3 linked regions of the Drosophila melanogaster genome follow. The protein of the gene in region 3 purifies or fractionates together with the protein of the main gene of each other region. This does not show direct contact. Each region holds a gene or a part of one and is shown on either strand. Other genes may lie near its edges.

The links.
Region 1: the proteins of Dip-B (region 3) and CG18518 purify together in Drosophila melanogaster (affinity purification with mass spectrometry, with the first as the bait; one large-scale study listed by BioGRID). This does not show direct contact.
Region 2: the proteins of Dip-B (region 3) and CG5445 purify together in Drosophila melanogaster (affinity purification with mass spectrometry, with the first as the bait; one large-scale study listed by BioGRID). This does not show direct contact.

What each region holds. Positions count from the first base shown.
Region 1 is NT_033779.5:15,833,965-15,837,860, reverse strand, and holds CG18518 (uncharacterized protein), read left to right. Parts: upstream 1-2,202; 5' UTR 2,203-2,252; coding exon 2,253-3,251; 3' UTR 3,252-3,292; downstream 3,293-3,896.
Region 2 is NC_004354.4:17,280,190-17,285,599, forward strand, and holds the start of CG5445 (uncharacterized protein), read left to right. Parts: upstream 1-2,306; 5' UTR 2,307-2,438; coding exon of another isoform or gene 2,439-2,504; 5' UTR 2,505-2,655; intron 2,656-2,714; 5' UTR 2,715-2,786; intron 2,787-3,572; exon of another isoform or gene 3,573-3,625; coding exon of another isoform or gene 3,626-4,180; intron 4,181-4,242; coding exon of another isoform or gene 4,243-4,284; exon of another isoform or gene 4,285-4,311; intron 4,312-5,410. Other genes in the region: f (forked), read left to right, coding at 1-211; CG8664 (uncharacterized protein), read right to left, coding at 1,622-2,200, 2,439-2,504; CG8661 (uncharacterized protein), read right to left, coding at 3,626-4,180, 4,243-4,284.
Region 3 is NT_033777.3:13,780,310-13,786,277, reverse strand, and holds Dip-B (dipeptidase B), read right to left. Parts: upstream 3,991-5,968; 5' UTR 3,827-3,990; intron 3,639-3,826; exon of another isoform or gene 3,584-3,638; 5' UTR 3,451-3,583; coding exon 3,437-3,450; intron 2,462-3,436; coding exon 2,185-2,461; intron 2,118-2,184; coding exon 2,019-2,117; intron 1,962-2,018; coding exon 825-1,961; 3' UTR 602-824; downstream 1-601. Other genes in the region: CG9286 (uncharacterized protein), read right to left, coding at 4,211-4,854, 4,914-5,040, 5,102-5,224; CG9288 (uncharacterized protein), read right to left, coding at 5,610-5,968.

The DNA.
Region 1 (3,896 bases), on a different chromosome or scaffold from region 3:
CTGGCTTTGGCTGTTTGTCTTGTCTATTCCATCGGAATGTGTGCCGGAGAAGTTGCTCCCATTTTGTTTGCTTAACTCATTGCCGCTGAAAAGGCCATAGAAATTAGTTAGGTAATTGCGCCGAAAGCTTCACTAAATGTAAAATTGAAATCTTTCATAAAAGCTTAATTCAAAGACATACGTAATTATTATATTTTCTCCACAGTACTTAAAGCCGGAAATCAAAATGCTCTTGTACTATTGTAGTAGTGCACAAAAAACAAGAGACAAGATTGCAAGATGTCAAGATCTAAGCATGGCCTATTGGGAATATCCTCCTGCGAAAATCTGCTGTCGCAAATCGAAAGTGGTAATAGATGTATAATTCATAAAGGTAAACTGGTATTATTAAGAACCGAACGCATTTTAAGATCATAAATCGAGTTCCAAGCATCGATCTACCGCGTCCACTTCAATGTGGCCACTTCAACAGTCTAGAGCAGAGATCTATGATGAACGGAGAGGCGGAAGTGCCATGGATGGCGGCCCTTCTGGATGCTACTAGTCTTCAATAAGCGACTTCTGTCACTGAAAAACTAAACGAATACCAGCTGGCGAATGGGATGCGATAACGAAAAAAGAGCAAGAAAAACATAAGGATGTTTCCATCAGGAAGATTGTGCGACACAACAATGTGGCCCTGTTATTTCTCAAAAAATCGCTCGACCTAACCCACCATATAAACCTGATTTGCCTGCCGCCACCGAATCGCAACTTTATCTATAATCGTTGCATTGTCAGTGGCTGGGGTAAGAAGAACTTCGAGAACATCAATGTTCAGAAGAAAATGTGCCCCTGGTGGACAGATCTAGGTGCCAGAGCGACAAGTTCAAGGAATCTTTGGCAAAAACTTCTATCTCGACCCCAGTCTGATGTGCGCCGGCGGTGAGATTGGCAAGGATGCGTGCAAAGGCGACGAAGGTTCCCCACTGGCCTGTCCCCTCTAAAGCGATCCTAATCGATATGAGCAGGTGGGCATCGTCAACTATGGATTAGTATGTGGCACAGATATTCCTGCTGTTTACACTGATGTTTCGAAAATGCGACCCTGTACTGACTATCAGATCAAATGCTTACCAACCACAAAAAGCAAATATTTATTCCCAACTAGAATAGTGATCCTATTAAAAAGAAATATAAACTTGCCTAATTTAAAAATACGGATATTTTTGAAACGTTTATAAGTAAACATATAATCCCAATATCAACCAACGTGGGATGTTGTATATTAATTAGCTAATACAGCTAGTTCATATAACAAGCTGCGTTCATCTTGCTACTTTCGGCTAATTGTGGACTTGGGCGGGTCGTTTCATTGATTTATGGCTGCTAATTTCAACGCATGGCGCTCAAAGTATTAAATAATAAACTCTATTCCGCCAGCAGGCTCTCGATCCCGCTGTTTTCCAAATCCCCGCCATAACTCCACCCACAACATCATCTTCATCGGGCTCCTGCTGAGCTGCAGTGTTGGTCGAGATGAGGCGCCATGCAATATGAGACCATAGGAAAGGGCTCCCTTTCTGGTCGCCCGGCAGACTTTACAAGTGTTTCCCTCGACTTTATGGGCCAGCTCGGAACTTGGGCGGGAGTTTTCCCGTTCCGTCTGGACGTGTAATGAAATTAAAGGCGTAATGCAATACAGCTGGCAAAGTTTTTGCAGCGGTTATTTCCATGGGTTCTCGTTACTGTTTGCTCTTTTGCCCGCCAGTAGCCGTCGTCGCATCTCCAGACAGTCATTAAATTTAATTAATATCTTCCGTTTTTTACCAGACTGCGGTCTTCAAAAAATTTGATACCGTTTGCTGTTGTTTCTTGTATTGTGTGATGAATTTTTTTCGGGGCATCTCTTTTTTTGGAGATATTCGGAAATATTTTTGGCAAACCTTTTAAATATTATATGCCCCTGAATTACAACCGATAATATTATTTTCTACTCAAATACACATATAAATATGTGAAAAATTCGATTTAAATTACATAAAATTTGTAATTGCGAGAATAAAACTACCATATACACTTTTTTAATACTTGTAATATAAAAGTAAAATTTTATTCTACTTTGAACATTTAACAACCCAATCAATTTAGCCTTGCTTTTTGATTCAGAATAATTTGACGTGACTGTCAGAATTTCGTTTCTTAATTTAGTGTCCCTTGCACATTACAAGCAAACGGTCGTTTTGAGCTAAATAAGTTAAAACAATTAAAAAATGAGTTCCAAAAAGAATATAACTCCACCAAACAATTCAGCCGATAAGGAAACGGATCGCAAAATCCCCGAAGAGTCTCTATCAATCACTAACCATCCGGGGGCCACATCAACGCCAACTTATATGACACGCAAACGGCAGAGGCTTTTATCTCTCCAGATGGATTCTGCATTGTCATTGTCATTGGTGGATCGAGTTCCACAAACATTCGAGGATATTCGTGGACGAAAGGGTATTCGTGATGCCAGTTCTCCAAAAACTGGTAAACTCCCAAGGACTAAAGCCCGGAATATACCGAAAACACCAGCGCGTGTTTCCCCAAGTATAAATCATGGTAGGAATTCTGCTAAGCCAAAGACCCCAGCTAAAAAGAAGACTACGGAGAAAACTCCTGCGAAGACGCCCACAGACACGCCGAAAATATCGCCAAAAAATACGCGACAAATATCGCCGAACAAGTCGCCAAAAACTTTCTCGATGATGCAAAATGTTCCAGCAAAAAAATCACCAATAAAATCATTAATAAAGAAGCCGAAAACGCCAGCAGTGAAATCACCAATTGAACCCATTATATTACCAACAGAGTCCCAATTGAAATCTCCGATAAAGTTATCAATTTCGCCAACGAAATCATCAATGATGTCAACGATTTTGACAAAGCAGTCGGTGAAGTCCGAAAAGAATTCCCCTGAAGCCCATTTCTCTGGAGAAGTAACCAATAAGGAAAATGCCGCTGAAGAAGATATTTCGGAGCCACCTTCAAAACAGCCTCGTCTACATATTTTGCAAGTCAATTTGGGGTCCCCATTCGCAATGACGCACAGCAAAAAACTGAAAGTAATTGCAGTAGATTCCAATGATGAAAATCAGGAAGCAAAAGAAGCACCTCCTGACAATTTAAGCGAAATCAACACAAGTGAGGAAATGAAGTCCTTCGAAATCAAAAATTCTTTTAAAAATGAGATAGAAAAATCGGACAAAAATTGTTTTATTTCGTAAGGTTATCAAAGCTTTACTAAAAATAAATATGATTTGAAGCGAAACAATTTATTTTACTAGTTTTTTTAAGGACGGGGGAATATCAATAGTACACGACCGTTGTTCCTGGATGTTTCTAAATAAAGATTATCAATGCGATGCAGCAGGCCTTAACAACTTATTCCTTTGCCGGTTTCTAGCACTAGCCTGATTGTATAATCTACACTTTTGCAGACAATAAAGTTCTTTCAGCGCACTTTGTAAGCTGGCAAAATGCACAGAAATGGCATTATCACGTTGCACACAGCTAATTTGCAAGCAAAGGACGAGGAGGTGGAATATAGCCATAGACGGGAACGGGGTACAAAAAGATCGGCCAAAGAGAAAAGAAAACTGAATTATATTTGCACAATAAACTTGGCAGCCGCCGTCTCTCTATATTATTATTCTGCCAGTTGTTTGTTTGTAGTTGTGTGTTCTCTTGTATCTGTGGGCAATAGTAATAAGATGCAAGCACACCAAGCATTCCTTTTACACAATTTTCCTTTCCCGCCCGCCGAATGACACTCAAGAAAATAAAAGCCACTGTCAAATTAAATATAATATTTATGGTAAAACACAAAGGCATTATTAGAAAAACAATTTGGTACATTTTGATAGAAAAAC
Region 2 (5,410 bases), on a different chromosome or scaffold from region 3:
CCATGTCGATCCCAAGGGAGCTGATCAGGATCAGGAGCACGGAGTTGGCATTGGCAGTGGCGTTGGTAACGCTAATTCTGGCGTCATTGGAGGTCAGGAGCTCATCGACCCATCGGAGGGCAGCCAGGGCCGCGCCGAGGAGGAGGAGGATAACATCATCCCATGGCGCGCCCAGCTGCGCAAGACCAACAGCCGTCTCAGCCTGATCTGATCTGCATCCACGTACACATACCCAAAAAATTAAATCCATTTTTCAATCGACTCCTAAGCGGTGTATTTTTTTTTTTTTTTTTTTTGTGGATTAACTTAAAGCATGTGCAATTATAATGAGAAAAACCCTAAATATAAAGCATAAAACCTAAGCCTAAGGTCTAGCTACTTACATTGTACTATATGCATAATCATTTTTGCACCTCCATATTTTTTTTTTTTTTCGCCAAAACGAATATTGTTATTCCTAGTGGGCAGTACAGTATCTCAAGGCGAATCAAACGTATATATCTAATCTTAGCTGCTGTGCTTAAGTTCTATTTCGGTTTTGTATTTTAATCACTTATACTCTCTATTTTTTGACATTTTTTTTTGTGACTTGGCTTGAATTTATTTAGTACTGGAATTAATTTAATTGATTGGTTAAGCATTTTTTATTGTTATTTGTTTTTATATACGCGGCTCAAACAATATTACTTTTAATAATATAAATACACGAATACATACAACACATCTATGAATGAAAAAGCGAACGAATGAAACAATAAATACATATATATAATTTAAAACAAAAGAGAGAATGCTTTAGTCGAGTTCCCCGATAATTATATAACCGTGTCTCAGCTAGTGTGAATGCGAGCGCGAAATTTTATTATTTTTCTGGGATATCGATAGGAATTGGAAAATAAAATAAGAAAAATTGATCAAAAGTGTGGGCGTGGCAGTTTTAGGCGGCTTGTGGGCGGTAGAGTGGGCGTGGCATCGTGGGCCCCATGTTTTCCTTTGCCGTTGGCGGTGTGGTAAGTTTTTCTTAATTTTGTAAATCAATTTTTATACCTAAAATTTCCAGCCACCGCGCTAACCAACTCGGTGTGGCTAAGGAATTTTGGTCGGAACGTATCGACGTATTGTATACTTGACATGGTCGGAGACCAATACATTTTCAACGAATCTAGTATACCTTTTTACTCTACGAGTAACGTGTTTACTCCCTTCATATTCTATTTGTTGCTTTTGTTGGAGTCCAGACCCATTGATACCGCTGGCGCCCATCATTTGAATCATCGAGTACAGAATATCCAGGAAGTCTGTCTATTGGCAATAGAATTAAGATTTTTGAACATATAACATCCTTTTTTATGGGTATAGAACATAAGGTTGAAGGTGGTTAAAGTCAAATAAGTCAGTTAGTAATAATGAGCACATCGATTTCCAAAGCTCTGTATGTGTCACATTCGTTTAAAAGTTTGAAACAGCAAAAAAAAGCCATGTTTGTCGGTCCGTCGGTATCTCGTGATCTGAGACACTATACAGGCTAGAAAGGTGTATAAGATATGTTGTCACACCCCGAACTCCCAAATCAGGAAGAAAGCATCTGCTTTGCTCATAATTTCATGGTTTTATTACCAACTTATGTCATGCTGGCTATGCAGGTATTGATGTTGGGCACAAAGGCGTTGCAGCCGTCGACCACCTTCTTGGTGGCATCGACGTAGCAGGAAGAGGTGTTGAAGGGCAGGGCTGCGCCCTGCTTGATCAATGTGTTCATGCGGCGGACAAGGGACATGGTGGCGTAGAAGGCCTTCAGGGTGCAACGCATGAAGCTCTTGGTGGAGGAGACGACGCTCCTGGAGGTGGAGGCGCACAGCTCGGACTTCATGTTGATGATCTTGTTGCTGGTGATGATCATTTGCTTGACATTGTTCAGCATGGCCTGGATATCCTTGGGAATATCGCCGGTGCAGGTGCTCAGGTCGTCTACGTAGTTGGTGCAGGTGAGCAGCACATTGGCCACCTCCTCGACGATGCACTTGGTGCCGTTGATGCCCTTGTATCCGGCCCACAGAATCTTGCGGCACGATCCAATGAAGCCGAACTGCTCGACGCCCATGAACTCATCCTCCATTGCCATCAACTCGGCGGCGTAGAGATCCTTAAGCTCGGCATCGGTGTAGGGCTCGAAGTCCTCGAAAGCACCTACGGCACTGGCCTAAAACAAGTTAGGAATACGATTCGATTTTGGAATAACTGTCAAAATATTTGACTTCAAGTAGCACACGTTTTAAAAGCACTTCGGAAAAAAAATTGAACAAAATATATTTGCTTTAAGCGACGATTCTGTTCATTAAATCTTTGTTTGCTGCACTTTTCGGATTTTTTTCAAACTCTAATAACGATGGCACTTGACTGTATTTGCTAGTAGTTCTTCATAAGGTTGTCTGACTTACGTTCGCTGTGGCCAGAAGGAAGCTGGCAGAGGCCACGACCAAGAGGCAGACGTTGAGTACTTTCATGTTACTGGTGGATGGTTTCACTGGCGAATGTTTGCTGACCGATCCGTGGGGTTTGTTTATATAGACGATTGGCCGGAGCCATATCAGTTAAGTGGCGATTCGGAGGTTCGATTTGCACATACACTTTGGAAAACCAATGTGCCGGCGATATGTATGCTTTAATTAAACCACCACACAAAGTCCGAAACTAATTTGACATTATCTATGCAGCGTGGACACACAAAGGAAGATAGCGAGATAGTCATATAGCCAGATTGTCCAGATTGGACAGGGATTCCTCAGGTAAGTCCGACACCACCCACCGCAAGCACTCCCATATATCGACGCGATGCATTCGATGCATAATCGCTCAAAGAAATCAATGGGTATTTTATTTAACAAAACAAAACCCTTGGAAAAGTCACCTATCTACGTTGTCAACGTCTGAGTGACAGCTTTTTAATATTTAAAGTGGCTTAAATCTAATTTATAAATAAGCATGAGCATTACAGTAAAAGAAGTATCGAGTATATTAAAAAACTAATTATACCAAAGAGAGAGCCTTTTATCTTCAAACCTGTCTCATGGCCCTAGGTTAAGGTGATCATATCTGTTGAGATATTGTTTTTGTCACACTTCCATTTTTATCAATATTCAATAGTGATAGAAAGTACACTCGCACTGGTTTTCGTTTAGGGGTGCAGACATTTGGTTAACAGTAACTAAACAATTATCTAACTATTCTGTACTCAATAAAATATAAATTTGTATTATAATTGAATTACTATTAATTTACTCTGACTAAAAATTGTATAAATTGTACAAATATACAAATATAGGTATGTTATAGAGCAACTTGTTATATTCCACTTAATACTTTTTGCAAATCGATGGAAATTCGCAAGACTAATAAAAATATAAAAAATATCATATATACGATATACCAGATCGACTCGGCTATTGATCCTAATCAAGACTATATGAAAACGCTTCCTTTTACTTTACGAGTAACGGTTATAAAAATTTAGTTACGAATAGTAATAAAAAGGCTTTCTCTCCTCTAACAAAATTAAATAACTAGCAAAAACTGTGATAACACGGATTTTTATTGAATGCTCGAATCAATTGCGGGCACTAAACCCCTAAGAAGTCAGCTTGGAGCAGCTGATGATGTTCTGGGGAAAGGCGGTGTAGTAGGTGGTCAGGGTGTTGACGGCATCGGAGACACAGGCGACGGCATTGGGACCGGTTTGCGGGATCTTCTTGGCCAGCTTGATGGCATTGTCCACTTGCTTCTTTAGGGACCACACCTTGCGCAGAGTCTTAACAAAGCAGCTGCCAGAGACCTTCGTCTCCTCGTCGTCCGTTTGGGGGCAAGTGTTGGACCTCAGATTGATGAGGTCGTTGCAAGTGCTGAGGATCTTATTGTTGGCGTTGATCAATTTGGTCACATCCTTGCTGGCGGTGACGCCGCACACGACCACGTCCGTGTTAAATTGGGTCGCACTGTCCTTGATGCCCGCCACCCACTTGATTATGCAATTGAGTCCCTTGATGCTTCGCAGAGCGATCTTTAGGGATTTGTAGGTCGTACTCAGCACGCCAAAGTCCTCCACCTCCAAGCTACCATCGGTCACATCGTCCAGTTCTGACGAAGAGTCCAGGGCGCTGGGAACAGGAGCCACCAATGCATTTACCTGGAATTTAAATATTTGCTACCATTGCGCAAATAATTTGTATTTTTCATTGCAAAACTTACGCAAAACAGGCCCAAAGCCAAAATAAGAATGGTATACTTCATGCTGTCGTTGTTTATAAGCAACTATGAAAACCGTTTCCGATTCGGCCCTTTTATATCGCTTGGTTTTTTAACCCTTTAGTGGTCAGGTAGGTCTTGTACAAACAGAAATATAATAGATATCTAGGTTCATAACTCTATTATTAGAGCTAAATGTTAGGATTGCACGGATATTATATTATATTGGTAGTATACGTACTGATGATATTTATATATCCTAGTTTTTTGCATACCTTTTTTGTGTTAAGAAAAGCGGTTAAGACTATATTGAACTTGAGCCAGTCACATTGGTGCTCTGATAACGCATTAAGCCAATTGATCATTTGGACACCGAATTTATCTATAAAATACAAAAAACCCAATTGATAACGCTATAACAACAAATCGAATTACAGTTCGATTTTAAATCATACTTATGGGCTGACTTACCTGCATACAAAGCTTTACTTTCACATATTAAAATGTATTTGCCTACTTTTGGGCTTAAGTTTATAACTTATCAAAATTATGGTAAAGATAAAATAATTGAAAATATTTAAATTTAAATCTGTTTTGACAAGTCTACCAACTCAAGCCAAATTGTTTATACTCTTCTGCCTCAGGGCGATTTGCAGATTAAATGCACGGTGGCCTTTAATCACACCATTTTCACAAGTTTCAATTACAATCGCCGGTCATTCGATTCGTATTTCACATACGGATTCCCATGAATGACATAGTTTGCTTCACCGCAAGTCTTACGTCGTCATCATCGCTGGACAAAAGTCAGTTGACTTCATTGAAGTGCCCTACGATTTGATTTGCTAGCCACGTGAGAAGCGCCATATCTGATAAGCTGGCCGATTAGATGGAAGGTTCGAAATACGAAAATCGTCTCATAGAGGGGACCGTATCGATAAGGATTTATACACGCTTAGCATTAACTTATTCGCCTTTCATATCTACAATACGTCTGATTGTTTCCAGGAAACGATAATTTCATTGGCGAACATAAGAGGTGCACGGTATAGCATTAGTCATCAATGTTCTCATTGATCACATATTAAAAAAAAAAACACACAGATGATACAACCTGTGACCTGTCAACGTTTCGGTAAAAGTTTATGACACAAAGTGTATAAATTGACAG
Region 3 (5,968 bases):
GTATTGGTACGGGAGAACGGCCAAGAACGGGAAGAGGCCGCAGTCAGAAGCCAGAAGAAGGCCAACGGGAGCCAACGGTATATTATGCAATCACAGCATGAATGAGACACTCTTGACCGAGTTTCCAAAGCCAGGCAATAACGGTACCAAGACACATGCGACAGCTGACAAGCGGGCCCCATCCACATCCCCATCCCCCAACCAAGCCAATCCACGCCAAGTTGCTGGGCCAAGCTCCCGGGAACGGGGCCCAAAGCGAAGAGCATGGCCAAGAAGCGACTAACGGGTTCTAGGCTGTGGGCCAAGCTACAAAAAAAGAAGGCGCTGCAAAGCTGAAGAGAAAAGGCTGCGAAAGGGGAAGAGCAGGAGTACGAGCCATACCGTAGATGGCCAACAAGAGCTCGAAATGCAGGGCACCCGCCAATTATGCAAACAATGCAGCTGGGAAATGCAGTAATAATAAAAAAGAAATAAAAAAGACCGAATACCCACGCGGCTTTCTTGTATACTTAACAAATATATGTAGGGTGGTTATTCTCTATAATGGGATGATATAATGTTTATATTTCCATGTTGATGAATATAATGAGATATTTGCTTTGTAAGCTTAAGGAAAAAAACAAATCATTTTCACATTTATTTGTAAACGATTACCAAATTAGTGACATACATTTATGAATACAATCTGAACTCGGTTTTGCCTTTATTAAAAAACAGTGATGCAGTTAGTAGGATAATATTGTTGGTTAGCTAAGCACGTGGGTGTATAAGTACTGTTTGTGGTGATCGTGTACACATCCTCCTGAATATTAGGTGGACATGATTTACTTCTGCAGATGGGTCTTCACCAGGGAAACAAGAGGGGCAGCTGTGGGCATCGCTGGGTGCTCACCGGCACTGCCGGCGATATCAATATGGGTGTACTTAATGGGCAGCATTGAATCCAACCCGTGTTTGTCCAGTCCAGAAGCCTTAATCATAAAGGCGGCGGGCACCTGGTGACCGCGAGGAGTCCTCACCGACGGGGCATTATTGGCCTGCACCAAATCCTCGCCAATCACCTTTCCAGCGTTAAAAGAGAAGTCACTGGGACGGAGAATGGACACTTCGAAGGGCTCTCCGAAGGCCTGTCCAGCAGCCTGCAGTCTTCTGGCGTGATCCTCCCGATGGGCCACGCTGTTATCGATGGCAATCGACTGACCCTCACCTGCCGAGATGAAGGCGTGACCAGTCAAGGTGGCAATGGTGAAAAGATGCGGATCCGGGAGATTCTGCTCCACGACCAACTCCTTCATGCGGCACAGGGCATCGGTCATGCACATGCGACCCTCGGCATCAGTATTTCCAATCCTCACATGAAGACCAGCTCGCGAGGTGATAACCTCATCGGCCACGTAGCACTCCTCGCCCACGGAATTGCGCACCATGCACAGGGCAGCCACAACATGGATATCATCCGGTTGCAGTTGACTGACCACCTGCATGAATCCAGCGACAGCAGCCGCTCCACACTTGTCGCGCGACATACCGGCCATCACACCACCGGCCTTGATGTCAGCACCACCGGTGTCATAGGTAACACCCTTGCCGACCAGCATCAGAGTTTTTCTCGCCGGCTTTGGAGGCTTGTACTCCAGGAAAATGATGCGACCACGATGACGCTCCACTGCATCAGCAGCCCGGTTTACGGCGGCAAACAGGGGATACTCCTTCTGCAACACCTGGGTGTCACTGATCACATTCACGTTGAGCTTGTCGAACAACGGCTTGATGTACTTCTCCACCTGGATGGGCGTCATGCGCTCCGGGTCCCCAACTCCGATGTCGCGGGCCACAAAGCGACCGGCCTCCAGAATGAGAGCTTCCTGGAAAATAGCTTCGGCCCTTGGATCATCGATCTGGACACTGAGCGTGGTCACACGGGGGTCCTTCAAAGTTCCTGCCTCGCGCAATTGAATGGGCTAAAAAACGTGTTTTAGCACATTGATTGAAATAAAAGTAAACATAATCCATATTACCACATAAAGCTGCTCCAGAGCTCCCAGAACGGTGCAGAGTTCGACCTCGGGGAAGCGCTTAACCTTGGGCACAAACAGCAACGGCGTGTGGAATCCAGCCTGGCAAAGAATACATATACATTTTCTTTCATAATTCACACAATATGTATAGAAAAAAAAAACCCACCTTGAGAACCTTCTCCATGGACCGCTTGGCCGCCTCCTGGTAGCTCCTCACATCGTCGTAGTCGGTGAGCTCGGAGACGGGGGCATAGACCACAGGTTGATCCACGTTGGGCACCTTAAAGCAGGATATGCTGCTGTCGAAGGACTTGTCGAATTTGCGGTGCTCCTCGAAGGTGGCCTTCAGTTCATTGGGAACCGCATTGCGATCGATGATGCACAGGCAGTCGTTGCCGGCCAGACTCATCAGCTTGTTCAGCCGGAGGGTGCATGGTAGAATTCTGGAGGGGCACACGTAGAGTAGAGTTAAAGTGCGCAACGGAATCGTTATTGGTATTCATTAAGAAACATTTCTGGGTGTCAACTAAATGTGCAATAGCGTTTAATTGAATTGAATTTTATCACGTCACATTTGCTTTATTAACTGATGCAGTCGTTCATATTGCATAACAGCCTGTTGCCTTTGTATTTCAATTTATTATTTCAAAAGAAAATGTCCCCACTGTATTAGGAGCAACCATGGCCATGTTTCAGTGTGTTCCCCTTTCGTTTACCCTCATTCCTGGCGCTGGGCTTATCTTAACTCGAAGTGCTATAAAGAATCGCGATAAGCTTTCGAAATGACCATAATCACAAACCGATTTCCAATTTAGAAACAAGTGTACCAAGTATTAGCACAAATGGTGTTAAAGTACTTATTTAGAATATTTGTAATCTTATTCAAGTGTTTCTACTAAATACCAATCCTTAGGTAACTGGGTCTATAATATTTTGGAGAATAATCCTATGTCGCTGACCATTTAATTGTGTTATCTTTTGAAGTGCCCCATATCAAACAATAAAAGTTGATCTATATATATCTGTTTCCAGAAGTAGCAAGAACTCGTTATCTAAGTAATAATGATAAAATTAAGTGACCTCCCCCCTTTAACTTTTATACAGTATTTCGCCAAACATTGTTTTTATTTTGGGAAAAGATAAAGTTTGGAATTTTCATGACATCTATTCCTTGCCGGCAACTAATTAAAACTGATAAACGCTGAGATATGCAGTACTAAAAACATTCTAATTTCGTTTTGGAATTATGGGAAAGGTAAATAAGATAGCAATTGATGGATGCTAAGCGACTAACCCTCACTGTAAAAGATGGCGAATCTTTGAGAGCTTTTCCAATCGGTCGCTAAGCGGTGGCTAGATAACTGATCCGCGCTAACTTAAAACACACCCTCTAATAACTGTTGGTAATAAATACTCACTTTTCGATACCCATGATGAGTACTTTTTCGCAGGCAGCTCACGCGACTTGGTTGATCGGCAAGTGGGGCGTCACTGAACCTCCCTGATGGGAACAAAGCGCTGCAGCTGGAAACTGGAAACTTGGGAGCGGGATCTGGAACGGAAAGCTGGCGATAAGGAGCGATTGTGATAGCTCTCCGCGACGATTTGCAATGTTCTGGCTGGGTGGCCAAGCTTTTTATACATTTTACTAGCGAGCCGGGCTTTAGGTTTTTTTTTTTTAATTGCTACTTGCGTTTTCGAATGAAAACAAATCGCACGAGCGATGAATAATCGCCAGTATGCTCGCTATGTACGTAATTCTAGAACTCGGATATAACTTGTAAACAATAAAGGCAAAGTCTACTCACGTCGCTCGGTCTTCGGAATTGTTATTGTGGGTTCCTCTTGCCAGTCACGTCCACGGTGGATGCAGTTTCTGGGCCAAAACTAACCAGTGGCAAAAAACAAAGGAATGGCAACCAGGTTTTTTTTTCACAGTAGACCAGCCGGCATGTGCGAAGCTTTCAAATGCCGGCCAAGTGACAGCTGTTTGTGGTTTGCCCGCGTTGCCAATTGTCATAAAGGATGTGGAAAGCTTTCGGTTCGAATTTTTGATACTCTTTGTATGGGACTACAAAGAAATAGAAGCTTATCGGTCGTTAGAGACCGGACATTATTACTTCTTAATTAGATATTTGTCGGGGTGTTATATTAAGGCCAAATAACACAGCAGTTTTAAATGTAAAAAATATTTATTCGCCATTAATAAAGCGTTGTATATCGTCAATAAGCTGCGGAAGTTTTTTGGCCTCCAGGACCAGGAGTTTCCTGTAGGGCGTCATCACGGCATCGCCTTCCAGCCAATCGCCAGACATGCCCGAATCGGTTTCAGAGGCCATGGAATACTCGAAGGAGAACTTAGCCCGATCCGAAAGCAACTCATCCTCAGCGTTGGTGTACACGTCCTCGCCCGGTTTGCCCTTCTTCGACTCTTTCCTGTAGAACTTAACCAGCAGCAGCAGAGTGCCAAAGTCGTATTTCATTTTCTTGGCCTTGGCGGCTTCGATTTCTTGCTGCAAACTCTGCAGCAGTGGCACGGAGATCTGGGCAGGGATATTGATAAAGCGCTCGTTGATCAAGAATCCCACATGGCGCTGCTCGCTGTCTAGAATCTCCTTCAACTGCTGCTGAACCTCCGGAGAAGCGTGCGTCTTGGCGCGATCCAGTATGTAGGTCCTTAACTGGGCGATGCTGGGCTGATCCTTTTTGGCGGTCAGGTTCAGCACAGAGGTGATTCCAAAGATGGTGCCATCCTCGACCATGTTGTCGTCCTCCGTTTCGCTTTCGGTGCCCTCGTCGTCGCACTGGCAGATCACACTGCCTATAAAATTTTGGGCTGGAAACAAAAAAAGTTGTGCTGATAGATAGATCAAGATAGTACCTTGGAGTGCTCACCTATGATCAAATCCGCCATTTGGTTGCAGTTGATGTGGGCACGAAGGAATAGTCGCTGCAGGAGTTGAGAGATTCCCTGGGCATCGGGATCTACTGGAGCTCGTCCCTCAAAGTCGATTTGCACCTCCTAGCCGGATATTAATTTTGAAACACATTTGCTTTTCATATTTTGGAGGCACTTAGATTACCTCGTTTCCCTTATAGGCATCTGGATGCGGTTCGTCGTCGTCATCATCCTCGCTGGAACTGGAGACATCCTCGTTGGGGTCCACCTCCATGGTACTCAATTTCTTTTGCTTATTAGCTGACATTTTTAAGATTTAGTTAACGAATTTGGTTTTGTTTCGCTTCCACTAAATTGCCGCCCGAACAGCTGTTTATCGTCCACACGTGTTGCATTGAGTTGCCAACTATTACGGAGCGTGCTGTTAAGTGGGCAGAGTTCTGTAAATGCACCGGAGTTAACAGGCTGTTAAGAAATAAAATTTACTGGAAATTAAATAGTAGACCCGACATTACATTTGACCATAAGTATTAACAAAATTCACAAGTTTCAGAAAATATTATTTGTGGTTTACTGTCAAAATTATTATTATTTAAGTCCTCATTGACTTTGAGCAATATAATATATGTATGAATCATTAATTTAAAATACAAAGGCCTTATAGAAGAAGCACAACAAAACAAGGGTCAAAATCACGCCTGAATCTCCTTATTTTTGTTTTGAGCGTGGTCCCCGGTGGACTCAATTTGAGGTAGACCTTCGTTTTTCGATTTTAGGCGCTCCTCATACTGCTCCTGGGTTAAAAGACTCGCCTTGATTGCATCGCAGTTTTCGATTTTGGGCAGAAGAATGGCGAAGTAGCCGGCTCCCTCGGGGAGTTGCTCCAGAAGCTTTGGCTCCTCCACAATGGCGGTGTTCACCTCTACCAGCTTGCCCCGAATGCAGCTGGGCACCTTGTAAGTCCCTCCATTTGCTGTGGTGAGCAGTGCCAAGGTGGACTCCGCCTGTAGGATCATTCCGCCCTTTTTACCCTTTCCCTTGACCACATTCT